Linked DNA regions of Lepisosteus oculatus. Each later gene encodes a partner of the first gene's protein in a complex. Links are inferred from orthologs where the notes say so. Each region holds a gene or a part of one and is shown in the gene's direction. Other genes may lie near its edges.

Region 1 (7,245 bases):
CATTGTTTTCTGCCTCACCATCCCTCTGTTTGCTTGGTTGCACTCTCGGAATGATATGATGTCACTCTCGGAATGATGTGATGTCACTCTCGGAATGATGTCATGTCACTCTCAGAATGATGTCGGTGCCCTTGCCTGCATTCTAAACTGCCTTGATTACAGTTTACTTGCAGTAAACTCTCATATCCTGTGTGATGTGTGGTAACCTTCTAGGTCTGTTGCTGGGAGTCAATCAGCACAGTATGCTTTTTTGAGTTGAAGTTTTTAACTTTTCTTCCTTTGTGTTTTAATTTTCCCACTGAAGCCCCAGGTCTCTAACCCCACCGCCCCCATTCCCTCGTCTGTTGACTTTGCTGAATTGCTAGTCCTGTGTCAATCAGGCTCGGAGGAGACGCGGGCTCCCCACTTAAAGTTTTCATCTGCGGCCCGGTGCATAGCTGGAGCAGCTGCCAGATTGTTCCCACTCATTCAGTCACTGTGAGCTGGAACAATTAGCCCCAGCTCAGGGCTCGAGTCCTCGTCTAGAGACCCCAGATGGATGGCCAGAGTCTGGTTGTACGGTGAATGTGATCCATTTCTTTATTTTTTCGCTTGTCTTGTGTTCTTGGCGTCTCTTTCACACTTTGCGCTCTGCTGGCTGAGTTTTGTCTTTGTTAGACTCGGCTAGCAGTGTGGGCTGTGGGCACTTAGCTGGAAGGCTGTGGGCTGGTGTCCGCGCTGTGGGTACTGTGGTTGTACTCTTGAGATTTGGCATGAGTACAGCTGTCAGCCTAGCCATTGACTAGCATCCCATCGAGGGAGGGACCACTTCTGTCAGTCCACTTAACGCTGCACACACTGACTTCAGCTCCGGTCTGGTGAGCTGATGCAGGAACATGATGTCTCTCCTCAAAAGATTTGTTGCAGGCCATTTAGTGAAATGTGAGTACTTGTGTGCCTTTTAGAAGAAGGCTTCCTCCAAAAGCTCTTGAATGCGTTGTATGAGCTCAAGAAGGACACCCCATTTTAGGCTTGTTGCTTTCACTTTTTTCAGTCTTGATGCTTTTGCTGACGCAAATCTTGATGCAGCCTCTTGTGCTCGCTGTTGCCAAACGCACGACCCCCTAAACAGGTTGTGCTGCTGGCAGCACTCGTCAGGATTACAGGGACTCTCTGGAAGGAGACCCTGCTCTGCTCACAGTGCGGCTCATGCAGGCGTCCGTGTAGCTGCGCGTGGTGCTCCAGGTCAGAGGCGCTGGAGGCCTGCGGTCCCCCTCGCCTCTGCTCCCTTGACTTCCTTCCTTATCTCCAGCACATTGAATGGCCACTGACGTCTGGTCCCGTTACTAAAAGCCATGCAGCTTCCCGAATCCCCTTCATCCGAGTGGAAGAAGATTGAGTGGCTTTTTCTCATCTAACTGTCAATATTTGCTCACGCTTGGTGCTTCTGTTGCCCTTTTGGCTTTTCCCAGTGTTTTCTTACAGTAAACAGCAGCCCATCCGCCCTCCTGCTCCTGTTAATGGACGTACAACATCTGTCAGCATTCCTGAGGTGGATGGTCCATACGACAGCGTATGGCTTTTTCTCACCATGGTTTCCCTTGGGAGCAATTATTGTGGAGACAACAGCAAAGAATGGTATGATGATGGTAAACCCATTGGACTACAGCAAATGTCATGCAATCTTGCCCCAGTAAAACCCTTAGAAGGAGCATGCCTTTCTTGAATTGCAATTAAATTATTCCTTTCCAAAATATATTTGATGCTTGCATGGGGTAGACTCATATTATTATTCGGATCTAAGATTAGAGATGTCAGACTTTTTTCAGGGGGATCGCTCTTTAAATGTGGGATCCATTCCTCCCCTTGTCCGGGAGGACGAAGGGCGAATGGAGGTTCTGACACACTTCTCACACACCCGACTGCATGATTGGCCATAAGGCCCTGCTTGAGCTGCGGGGTGATTAGTCAATCAGGATTTTGACAGCTCCACAGTGTGGGTGTGCGTGTGGGCGAGGTGTGCTGGTGAGATTCGAGGAAGAAGTTTCATGGGAACTTTCTGTGCAAATGTTGATCCTAAGATCTTTTAGAAATGAATTCTGTAGTATAAGATTTTGCATCCATTGCTTTCCAACTTACGGTTTCTGCAGGCAGGAGATAGCTGAACTAGGATTGCCGGAGTCTGAACCCTTTAGCCAAAGAGCTGTGGAAGTGTGGAACAAGCTTCCCAACCAGGATACTGAAGCCAAAACCCTGGCTTATTTAGGGAAATTCTGGGATCAATTACCTGTTTAACAACCTAACAGGCTAGATGGTCTACTGTGCTTTGTAACCTTTCTTATGTTCTGATGTTATTAAAATGAGAGATTTTTTTTTCCTATTAGTCTTTGAGACTAATGCAAGACTAATGTCAGTGCAAGCAATTCATTTTATACAGATCTTTTTCTGCTTGAGGTGTCTGTAGTAGCAGGAATCCTGTTTGTGGCTGTGTGTGAGTCAGTGGTTATCCTGTTCATGCCATTTAAATCGAATGATCTCCCCTTATTCAAACAAAAGCCCTTCCTCTCACTTTCTTTGTAACGTCACGTTCAGACGACGTGATTTGGGGAGTTTGGGTAGGATAATTTCGGACTTGACATAATACAGATTTGCAGTGAATAACTGCAGCTACAAGACTACGAGAGACTTGACTTACTTTTTAGGCCCTGCGGCCGTGCTCTGCATACCGATCACTGACTTAGTGCCACTATTGTTCCCTACTCTGGCACAGTGCAGCTGTCCCTGCGGGATTCTGCACAGGTGTGGGTAGGGAATGGAAGAGCTGTGGGGCTCTTTCCTGAGGGCACTTCACCCTCCTGTGCTCTGGTCACATGACAGGAAGAGCCAGAGAGGGGCACACCGAGCAACTCAGCGGGCAGAACAAAATAAAACAAAGGAGCCTTAAGAGAGTCCTGTGTTCAGCTTCACTGTGCTGTATCAGAGCAGACTTACAACCAGCAGCTGTATCACCCTGCAGCTCATAGCTTGCAGTCCATGGAAGCTCAGCAAGTGTGAGCCTGGTCAGTACCTGGAGGGGAGACGTCCTGGGAAAGCTAAGGCTGCTGCTGGAAGAGGTGTTAGTGGGACCAGTAGGGGGTGCTCACCCTGCAGCCAGTGTGGGGTCCAAATGTTCCAGGATAGTGATGGGGATACTATAGTGTAGTAAAGGCACCATCCAGACATAAAACTGAAGTTCTGATTCTCCAGGGTTATTAAGAATACCAGTGCATTTCTCAAAAAGAGTTTTACCCTTGCGTGTTAGGGGTGTTCCCTACCAATAATGCCCATCTATGAACTGGCTTCGCTGATCCCCACTAAGAGCTGGTGTGTTGTGAGAGTACTGGCGCACTATGGCCACTGTCGCATCATCCAGGTGGGGCTGCACACTGGTGGAGGGGAGTCCCCATTACCTGTAGAGTGCTTGGAGTGGAGAAAAGCACTATATAAATGTAAGGAATTATTATTACTAGTAGTAGTGACAAAGCACGGGGAGGACTCCTAAACTACGATTTGGACATGGGGCTGCTGTGACAGACCAGAGGGAATGTTTGACGAGTTTAGCGAAACCATGGGACAGCTGCAAAACGGACAAGCTGGAGCTTCAGGTGGATTCACTTGTGCTGTCGGCACTTGGGGTTTGTTTCAGCGGTTTCTTTCTCATGCGTTTTCTTTCCCCAGCTGGTCAGGGCTGCCAGGAAGTACGCGAGGGGAAGGAAATGTGTGTGGCACCAAGCTGAATGAGCTCAGTGCAGAAACACGTTGTGTCACATGGATTTCATTCCCCATCCACCAGGCGATTTTAGTTTTGAGAGATTCAACGCAGGCACTGGGATCAATTCTGGACTGAGAGGAGTCTGCATGTTCTCCTCTGTTCACAGAGCTCTTATCCCATGTCCCTCTTCAGTTTCTGAAGACAAGTTGGCTGTGTTAACTGGCATCTTTAATTTTGCCCAGCGCTGGACAGGCATTCGGTCGTCTGCCCTGTGCTTCCACAGTTGGCTCTGAAGTGCTGCACCTAAATGGTGAATGAGGTGGGTCCCATCCTGTATGTACAGTGCTTTGGGCTTCTTCGGTATGATGAAATGTGCTATTAAGAAAATGCTTAATCTATAGTACATACTGAAAACGCCAGACCGACAGACATGGGGCGCGCAATGACTCCCACGCAACAGCCCCTCCCCTTTCGACCGCTGTGCATGCTGGGTCAAGCCGAACATGGCGGCGCCCTTGTGTTTGTGCTGAGATAGTGTCTCTCTGGAGAAACAGACGCGAATTCAGGCTCAGTGCTGTATCAACAGCGAGAGGAAGCGCCGACGGGGATATAAACGGCAGTACGAGGCAGCATATTCGGCTGTGACGTCCCTGGTTGGAGCCGGTCAGACCTTGGCGAGGCTCAGGCGGCGAGTCCGTGCGAGAATGGGCCTCTCTTTCAGCCCCTAGCGAGGAGTGGACGAAAGGAGCCCTCGAAAATACTGCCTGGGGACGGAGAGCGGGGGCCTGGGACACGGCAGCAGAGACACCTCGCCAAACCTGTTGAGTTTGCAGAGGAATTTGATGCGGGATTTTTGCCTTTCGGCTCTGCCTCTGTTTTGGGAGAAGGACGCCTAATTTTCCCTTTCCCGTGTGAGGGATTGCGGGGAGATAAGGTCCGTGTCATCTGCGAACGAGATCATCCCCATTTAAAGGGCTTCTTGTTTTCCTTACTGGCAGATTTCTCTCATGTGTCTGTTTTATTGTTTTACAAGAAGGAAATGACAATCTTGCTTAGTTGTGTTTATTTCGGATCTTGGTGCGCGCGGTAGTGTTAGGTGGTAAGACCGGTAGAAATAAGTATTGTTGCTGTAGTTTTTAAAGACTACGAATATCTCCCTTCCCCTATCAGATCGTTACACATTCTTAATTGTACGCGTGTGTTTGTGTGTTTGGGGGAGGGGGGGGTGATCATGTGTACTTCCTTCACTGAACTGAAGCCCGAACGGGTGGCTGGCTGTTCAGGTAGTGATACTTGCGTGGCGATGAAGCCGATCACGACATTCCACGCATGTCGGTACACAACCGCAGCCGATTCCGCGTTGTGTATTTGTTGACCCAGTGACATTGTCTGATCTCCACCGTGCACAACACACACACATCCTTTAAGACTCTCAGGGCTGTCCGGTCCTGGTCATGGAGGGACACCCGTGTCTGTGGGGTTTCCTTCCAGCCCAGCTCTGGTCAAGCTAAACAGTACTTACTGGTGCAAATGAGAGCCTTTACCTTCATGGATAGTTGTGTCACTTTTGAGAGTCATCATAACTGACCAGGGATGCAAAATAAAGCTGCAACCCAAGGTGGGTCTTGCCAGTGATCACTTGTCTGGCAGGCAGAAAAGCTTTCCTTCATGGTTCTCTCAGGCTCCAGGTCAGGAGTTCACCTGGGTCTTTATCAGCCTCCTCTGCGTCCATAACTAGTGGCTGTTCTAGTAGACAAGAGTGGATCTACTGATTCGCTGACCGGCTGCGGTCTCGATGCTGTGATGGGGTTGTGCTCTGAGGCGGCCGCTGGTCTTTGCAGGGCCCTGATGAGAATGGACTCGGAGCTGCTTCACTCTCCCGCCGTGGGCCTCGGGGAGGAGGAGGAAGCCGACATGACGGACTGGAACCTGCCGCTGGCCTTCATGAAGAAGCGGCACTGCGAGAAGATCGAGGGCTCCAAGGCGCTGGCCCAGAGCTGGAGGATGAAGGACAGGGTGAGCGCGCGCGCCTGCCTTCGCGATCGCCGCCGCCGTGGCGGGAATGCCAAACGCTCACAGGGCTGACGAGCGTCTTGTCCAAAGCAGTGACCCGTCTGCTTCCTGCTTGCGTTCAGCCCAGCAACTCGACATGACTGTGTTGTGAGTGAGATTTGAAGGTACTGCTTCTAGTCTTGTGCACTCCCATGTTAGTGAGCACATTCGAGCTGTTTGAAATCTAGGGGTAGGCACCAAGAATTTTTCGTTCCCTGTCCCTTTTGACCTGAAAGCACAGCACCGAAATATGTCGTCATCTGCATTCTACAAGTGCAGACAGACGTACTCTTTTAATGGCAGCAAATCGGATACGTGTCCTTGTTTTCTGGGCATTACTGCTGTTTCTTGCGCTGGGAGGCATTCAGTTTTCGTTCTGAGGCATGAGAGGTGTGTTTCAGTTGTGGGAGATCGGAGCAAGTGGGTTTTTAAGGCCCGTGCGCATGCTCATAAACAATTGTGTGTACCTGTGGAGAAAGAAGGTTGTGTCGAGCAGTTGTGAGGTGGAATTGGGTCTTTGCATGAGGCTGTCCCATGCACGTGATTTATACCTGTTGGTTTTTAATCAGCGTTGCACATTTTCTTGCATGTCTACTGCTCTGTGAATTGGCCACTCTTCTTGCGCACGTTTCTTTTTTTTTTATATGGGAGAGTTGGTTACTTTGTGATGTGTCCTTTACAGTTTACTCTTAACTTACTGTAGGGTTAAGGATTTTGAGTAGCGTCTAGTCAAATACGCATACTGTCAGGTTTTACCCTAAACCTTTATGGAAAAAAAACCTCTTATGGTAATTCAGAATATTAAATATAAGTATAAAAATGCTAAATAAAAGTAAATACAAGTAAAATGACTGTATAGGCTCACTAACTACCTCTTGTAGGTGTGCTTGGTTAATTTTTCAGAGAATAAAGCATTTTTAAGAGTATTTTTTATTTTCCAGAGCAGGTCGGATAAAGCTGAGACTGCTTAAATTGAGTCGCCAGTGTTCCGTTCACTGTAAGGAGAGCTGTGGTGTACAGCTTTGAGCTGGGATTTGAGAGCTAGGCAGGCTCAGTCTGCACCACTGGTTGTTTACCCGTTGAAGGGCTGGGGTTCTTTTTATCTAGAATGACAGGGTGATCTTTTAAACCTTTTCAGATTAAATATTAAATGTAACATTTGTTATCTAACTTTCAAAAAAATCCAAATAATTCTCCAAAACAACCAGCAATAACAGAATAACCATGGCAGTGGCACCACTGACCAGATGTGGATCTTTAAGTTTTTTAGTTACATTCAAACAAATCACTCAGCAGGCTTAGAAAATCGGTTACAAGCAGATAACCTTTGCAAGCCAAACTGGGCTCTGCCTTGTGTGATAAGTGAAATCAGATTCAAGTGTTTTTTTCTTTTAAAACATGATTCATCCTGTTTGTATTGAAGTCATTTATTAACCTTGTTTTTTTACTACACAGCATCCTTG
Region 2 (7,177 bases), on another chromosome or scaffold:
AGCAAGCGGAGTAAAACAATTTAAAATTTCAGAGCTAAGGTATGGGGGCGAGCAGCACTGGGGAAAAGCAAAGCCACTTAATATTGCATTCAGCGCCTTATACTTTTAATGAGGCTGGCAACCGAGATTACCAGAGGAATTAAAAAAAAAGACGCTGCACTAGTTTCACTGGTGATTTAAGAATGCTGCATTTCACAGTGAAAAATAAAAAGCAACACATGAAAATACATTTAAAAATATATGTATAACGAGGAAGAAATTTCAGATCAAAGGAAGCCACTGTACAGTACAGGCACTGACAAAGAAACAAAGCAGTGCGATCAATTCCTTTTAATGCAATTTCATGACACTTAATATGGAGTTCTTACTGTATAGATAAATTGGTTATGTCCACGGTTGTGCAGTATTTCTATTAGGCTTTATTCTGCCTAAATTAAATTTCCCGGTTGGGCTCTTTAATTGAGCCCTGTTCCCTAATGACAGAAGAGTGAGGACTTTAGAAGGAAAAAAAAAAGATTTGCTGATAGAAGAGCCTTTGATTTTTCCTGGTGTTTGTAAAAAGCATGTCATTTTAAATCCGTCCCCAAGCTGTTCATCCAGAAAAACGGCCTTAAACCAGCAACTCAGAAGAATTTGATTTCGGCAGTGGCCTCTCCTTTTTTCCACAGTTATGGTTAAACCCTCAGCAGTGCACGGTTCTGATCGGTGTGAGGGGGTGTAAGCTAATCACTAAGGTACACTGGTACCCTGGGCAACTCATCATGTGTCTTCTTCCCCAAATATTTTACCTTATTAGCTTCTAATCCTTGCACAAGATCGTTTATTTTTAGATGCTCATAATCCTCAGGGTGAACAAATTGTTAAGGCATCATGAATGCCCTGTGCTATGAAGCTCAAAGCGTACACAGTGCAGAACTTAGTCATGTGAAGTTGATCTCTGTTGCCAGAAGACACTTGGCGCTTAGTGTTTGCTGAACAAAACATAGGATGTCAATACATAAAATGCTCCAAAGTGCATTAACTGGTATAAAGCGTTGTACATTTTTTAAATTAAATTGCTTCCTCCTTTGTGCACATTTCAGAATCTTTATCAGGAGAGAGCAATTTAAGCAATCCATCATCACTCTCGCTGTTTTGAAAAGCAAACGTTTCTAGCATTGCCATCTTCTAAAAGGGCTTTTAATTATGAAGACAAAGGGGCAGTCAGAAAGTCTTTACCTCCAAAGAGCCATTAGCATCTTTTTTTTTTCAAAGGGCAAATAACTCACACTGGCCACACTAAAGCCATTTAGTCATGAAAACAGTATTCTCACGATATAGCCATTAGTTCCTCTGTGAGCTCTAGTTGAGGAATAATGTTGCTAAAAGCTGTGCTCAAGTGTTCCAGTCAGCTGATGTGTCCTTTAACCCTTTCGTTGTGGCTTCATGCCCTGCATGCTTTTTCAGTAAAGGCTGAGGGATGAGTCATTGAATTCAATATAAATAATACGAGCAATATTGGTTATAATAATGATCTGTTTACTTCACTGTAATATGAAACAAGCCCCTGTTTTGCATCAGCCTTCTTCCAGATTAGGCATCAATTGACATTTTTTTTTAAATCACAGTGTTAATTTTTTTTTTCCTTGAGATTATGAGGGCTCTGTGCAGCACCCCTTTTTGTGAAAATGAGGCGGTTTACTCAAAGCAAACACAGCCTCTTCCGGGGGCGGCGTGGGGTGCTCGCCCCACTGCTACACAGGTCGCTCAGACGCAATAAAAATCTTAGCCGGGCTGGGGAAGATGGCAGAAACGGAGCAGCGCTGCTGTACAGCAAAACAAGTATTCTGCCAGCTGTTCCAACTGTTGCAATTGCAAGGAAGCAGAAGGGAAAGGCAGTGATTTAGCGAGCTGTGTGGTTTCGCTCCTTCTTATTCACTTGACCTTGAAGTATCAGCTCAGCACACTCTTGAGTTCAGCGGATGGGAGTCCCAGGACTACTGCATTTATCATTGAAATACTGAGCTGTCAAGTCGCACTGCATACCTGTCAAGGAGGGCTCATAGGTACTGCGAGAGCTGCTGTCCTCTGGTGCAGTGCATGATTCTTCATTGCGCTAGACTGCAGGCCTGCTCCCAGCCACTTCTAGACACCTCTCGGCACAAGGCACTTCCTATGCAACACCTTCCTCCTCCTCTCCCTCCTCTGTGGCCTAAAGGCTTTAAGATCTCGATGCCATTGCTGGTTTTAAGACCTCCGTGGGATTTTATGCATTTAAGCCAGTGATTATTTTAGGATTTTTAGTTCATTGGCAATTGAGACAACCCCCTTTTTTAATTTTTTTTTTTACGACTGTGTGCGCTTTGCTCCGGTGGTTAACGGTTTTGGAAGCCGGGCCGTGCCACAGGGGACGAGCACCAGGGAAAATAAAAGGAGGGGCTGAAGAGTGAACTCATGAGTTGCGATGCACATAACCAGGCCAGTGACGTTGACGTGATTCAATATGTTTTATGACACCAGTTACAATGTTACGTCTTTTTGGTTGCAAGCATATTTTACAAATATATAAACTTTCAATTTTATATCATGGAGTAATTATAACAATCATATTCTTTCTAGAGATGAATCCAGCTAATGATCCTATCTAAAGTGCCCAGAATCAAATTGTTTAAAAAAAAACAAACGGTCTCTGGGACGAACTAGTTTTTCTACAGGAATAAATATATGGTGTATACATATATAATGCGTTTGATAACAGCTGTGATCTACCTCTAATGACGATTCCCAGTTCTTTAAAATAGTTTCCTTGTGTTTTTTTTTTGTGCTGTTACATTTCATGTCCTTTTCTTACCTTCATGAGTGTTTCCAAAAGTGAAGTGGTTTCAATCTGAGATGAAAAACATCAGATGAGAACAGTGTGCTGCTGTGGTTTGATAAGAAGGATGGAGTTCTTCATTTATCACACTGAATATGTATTTCATATAAATAACATATATGGAGAGTAATAACTTTAGTCTTCGAATGTTGTGCATGCTTTAAAATACCGGATTTTATCCATCCTACTGTTTTCCAACTGCTTTATCCAGCACAGGGTCTCAGGGAAGCCTGAATGTATCCCAGCATCCAACAGGCACAAGGCAGGACACACTCTGCACGGGGTGCCAGTCCATCGCAGGGCACACACAAACACACACACTCCGATTTCCAGCAAAAGGTGATTAACCGACCAGTATGTCTTTGGTACCCTCTTTTTGACAAGATGTGTGGTTTGCTTTTCTTTCCTCTCTGGTCAGTGGCTGTGGATGCCATGTTTAAAATAAAGGGGGTAAAAAGAGGATGTCTTAGGACTGTGGGAGGAAACCGGGGCACCTGGAGGAAACCCCCTGAACACGGGGAGAACATACAGACTCCACACAGACAGACCCCAGGGTCCAGAATGAACCCAGGGCCCCAGCGCCGTGCCGCCCAGTACTGCAGTTATTTTGTCGTTTTATATTTTTATGTGTTCCTAGGTGGATGGATTGAAATGTGATGTAGCTTAAACAAAATCAAACAATTCCACGTTTTCCTACTCATCTCACACACCCTGTGAGCAGTTAGCTGTCACCAGGCTCATGTCACCTGACACCCTGTTGACAAGGCCTCCAGCTGCAGAACGATCTGAATACGATGAGGATGTTGCTCCACTTTGCTCTGATGACTGCAGAAAAAGGCCTGCAGTTTTCTTCCCACCCCAGATCTTCGAAAACATTGCAGTGTCAAAGTAATCGGACCAGAATTTATCGAGAAGATATTTGCTCCCCCTCGTTGTTTATTTGTCAAAATATAAATATGGTCATAAAAAATGCCAATAACTATTATTCTGTTTCTATTAATAATAATGTTAATGATGAGCAGGAAGAGGAGGTTTGCGCCCTGTCTGTGGGGCTGGTACTATACTGACCAGCAACCCTGCAGGGGAAAAAAAACACTTTTTCATCAATTAAGTGTCATTCCTCACACTAGCCCCGCCCCCTCAGCGCTATGCTTCGGGGCTCGCCAAGTTCCGCCCCCGCTCCCGCCTTCCACGGGCGCTACGCTGGCCTGCCGTTCGCTCACGCCGGTGCCAATCATTCCTTCTTCGCCTCCCATTGGCCGGCTCCAACGTCAACGAGCGCCTCTGACGCTTTCCATTTGGCTCGACGGGCAGAGCCCTTCCACTTCCGCTGTCAAGGTAAACCAGTGAGAACTGCAGATGGAGTCTATAGAGGAAATAGGTTTTCATGGAGTTTATTAAACCTGCTGGCAGCAGAACTGTTACAGTGGTAAAAACAGACCGTTTCTAGCCGGGGATATGCGAAGCTGATACCGCGTCTCCCTGCTATCTCTCCCTCTCTTGGAAAAGGCATGCGTTACGGTACGTTGAAATCAATGTTATTAAGATGTAACCCCGTTTCTGTCGCGGGCAAGGCCTACAGGACCATCTCTCCGCTGTGCGCTGTCCACACGGCGACGGTAGTAAATATAGGGGCTCTGTCGGGAAACGGGGGCGGTTTTGCACCACACGTCCGTGTCGGCCCCCGGGACGAGCGAGTGTGTCTCTGTTCCTCGGGTGTGACCTGTGTCCAGGGGCTGGCGGAGACCGCTGCCGCCTGTGGGGGTGTCAGCCTGCTGTCCGAGACCGGCGACCCGGGAGAGTGCGGGACTTCACTCGGTTGCCTTGCCCTGGTCTCCTGCCGGACCCGTTCACCACCGGGGGAGGGCCTGACACGGCCGTGTGTGTTTTATTGCATGATTATCATTTGTTTCCTCTTTACCACAGCCTGTGCTCCGGCGGTCTCGGCCCCGGTGCTGAGACTCGGACTCCCATAAGTTACCAGCCGGCACCCGTCCCTCCAACGGGCGCTTCTGCTGTTTGTTTTTCTTTGGTCGACTCCCTTGTGTCCGGCGCGGTGCAGCTCCCGTGACCTGTTGACCTGGGAGGGGGGGTCCCACCTCCACTCCCCCCACAAAAAACACGGGAGAGCCCGCTCCCAGCCTGCGCTGTCGCTCCGGAGAAGTGCCGAAGTCATTCATCCATGACAACACCCTATGTCCGCAATACAAAAACAACAACAACAACAAAATAATAGCGTGCAGCTTCCTAACGCCGTGAAAGAGTGAGAAGCCCCGTTTTAGCGAGAGACTGCTGATTGATGAGTGAGCTGGTCCCGGGTGCGAGGAGGTGGACTCGGACACCTGGCTCTGCGTGCTCTCCTTACTGAGTGAGTGACCCTGTGTTACCTGCCTCCAGGGAAACACACACACACACACACACACCTTTTGTATTGCAGTAAGTCTTCTTTAGATTGGGAAAGCTCCTCCGTTTCCTTCAGAAAGACAATCCAGTGTTTGGGGACTTTGCAGTCCTTATTTCAGCTCATACCTGGCATCCGGCAGCTGAATGTAGAGGACCACTGTGGGGAACACGATTGCGTGCAATGCAAGAGGGGGTCCTGTGATGCTGTGTCCTTCCAGGAGTACAGGGGCCAGTCGCTGAAGGCCAGTGCGGAGAAGGTGTTCATCTGCGTAATTTGTCTTGCGCGCTGCTCTGGAAGTTCAGGAAGCTGGGAAGACGTGCTGGCAGTACGTCTCGCCGCTGTCGGAGTTGGAGAGCCTGGCCTGTGGCCGTGCTTGTGTTTTTGCTGCCTCGCTGGGGCTCCGGTTTCGATTCCAGGCCTGGGGTGCTGTCCGCATGTCCGTGTGGGTTTCCTCCCACAGTCCGGAGACCGGCCGGCGGGTTAACTGGTTTCTGGGGAAGCCGGGCCTGGCGCGAGGGTGTGTGTGTCTGTGTGGGCCCCTCTGCAGGGAGTCCCTCCTGCTGCCCGTTGTTTGCCAGGGTAGGCTCTGGCTCTGCCACAACCCTGTAATGGGAGAGGCAGTCAGGAGATGGATGGATAGATGTTCTCTCACGTCTTGAGCTGGGCTATAATTTTTTGCAGAGTTGCTCAGTGCCCCCATTCCCCTCTCCAAGCCTTTTACATTTGAAGTCTTGAAACTGCAGAGGGATGATGGACCCCAGCGCATTGATTCCTCAGCACAGCGCCGCCCTGCTGTTCGCACTGAGACACCGATTCACTCAGCACAGAGCCGCCCTGCTGTTCGCACTGAGACACCGATTCACTCAGCACAGCGCCGCCCTGCTGTTCACACTGAGACACCGATTCACTCAGCACAGAGCCGCCCTGCTGTTCGCACTGAGACACCGATTCACTCAGCACAGAGCCGCCCTGCTGTTCGCACTGAGACACCGATTCACTCAGCACAGAGCCGCCCTGCTGTTCGCACTGAGACACCGATTCACTCAGCACAGCGCCGCCCTGCTGTTCAGAGCTGAGACACCGATTCACTCAGCACAGAGCCGCCCTGCTGTTCACACTGAGACACCGATTCACTCAGCACAGCGCCCCCCTGCTGTTCAGAGCTGAGACACCGATTCACTCAGCACGGAGCCGCCCTGCTGTTCATAGCTGAGACACACTGATTCCTCGTCACAGTGCGGCCCTGCTGTTTACGGAGAATAAAGATATCCCACACCCGGTGTTGGCTAGCCGTAAGGCGTTTTTAATGGTCAGGCTGAAAATGAGGGTGAAAACAAACAGCAGAATTATATTCCTGTCTCCAGGTTGCACTGGAAAAGGTGAAGCCTGTTGCTCCCTACACTGCTGGTTCGTCTTGGTTAAACTTTTATGTGCTGGTCCTGTTCCAGGCTGTCATTACCGGTGTGTTAGCAGGACTCCCCAGATGGGGGCTGTCCTGGGCCTTGTTGTGGAGCAGTGCCCCTGGGGGCTGACCAGGCCTGGGGAGGTGTTGTAATTGTGTGGAACGAGCGGAGTGGCTCTTGTTTGGACCGGAGGCATACGGATTCACTGGGAAGAACTCGGAGCGCGACACTGAGAATATTGGACGCGGCTCTCGGAGAGCGTGCCGGCGGGCGTCCGCTGAGTCTGCGGTCGCAGCAGCTTCCCCTCGGCGTGCCCGGAAGCAGAGGTCCAGCGGGCGGCGTGCCCAGCTGTGCCCCAGGACACAGCCCCTGCGGTCGATCGGGGGTCTGGTACTCCCGGCGTGCGGGATAATTCTGTGTCCCGGCCGGAGGAGGGGACACGTCTCTCTGGCCCCGCCGAGCTGCCCACGCGTGTGCGGGTGACGCAGAGTCGTCTGGAGCTCCGAGGGTTCGGCT

What was found. Proteins that work in one complex are often made in the same cells at the same time.
Region 2: rptor (region 1) and mapkap1 share a complex: the UniProt entries of both Homo sapiens proteins name them as parts of the mechanistic target of rapamycin complex. The link is inferred for Lepisosteus oculatus from reciprocal best matches to the Homo sapiens genes RPTOR and MAPKAP1.

Annotation. Positions count from the first base shown.
Region 1 is NC_090704.1:45,061,924-45,069,168, forward strand, and holds the start of rptor (regulatory-associated protein of mTOR), read left to right. Parts: upstream 1-4,221; 5' UTR 4,222-4,664; intron 4,665-5,571; 5' UTR 5,572-5,578; coding exon 5,579-5,746; intron 5,747-7,245. UniProt on the Homo sapiens protein: Component of the mechanistic target of rapamycin complex 1 (mTORC1), an evolutionarily conserved central nutrient sensor that stimulates anabolic reactions and macromolecule biosynthesis to promote cellular biomass generation and growth.
Region 2 is NC_090719.1:1,111,212-1,118,388, forward strand, and holds the start of mapkap1 (target of rapamycin complex 2 subunit MAPKAP1), read left to right. Parts: upstream 1-4,173; 5' UTR 4,174-4,375; intron 4,376-4,780; 5' UTR 4,781-5,222; intron 5,223-7,177. UniProt on the Homo sapiens protein: Component of the mechanistic target of rapamycin complex 2 (mTORC2), which transduces signals from growth factors to pathways involved in proliferation, cytoskeletal organization, lipogenesis and anabolic output.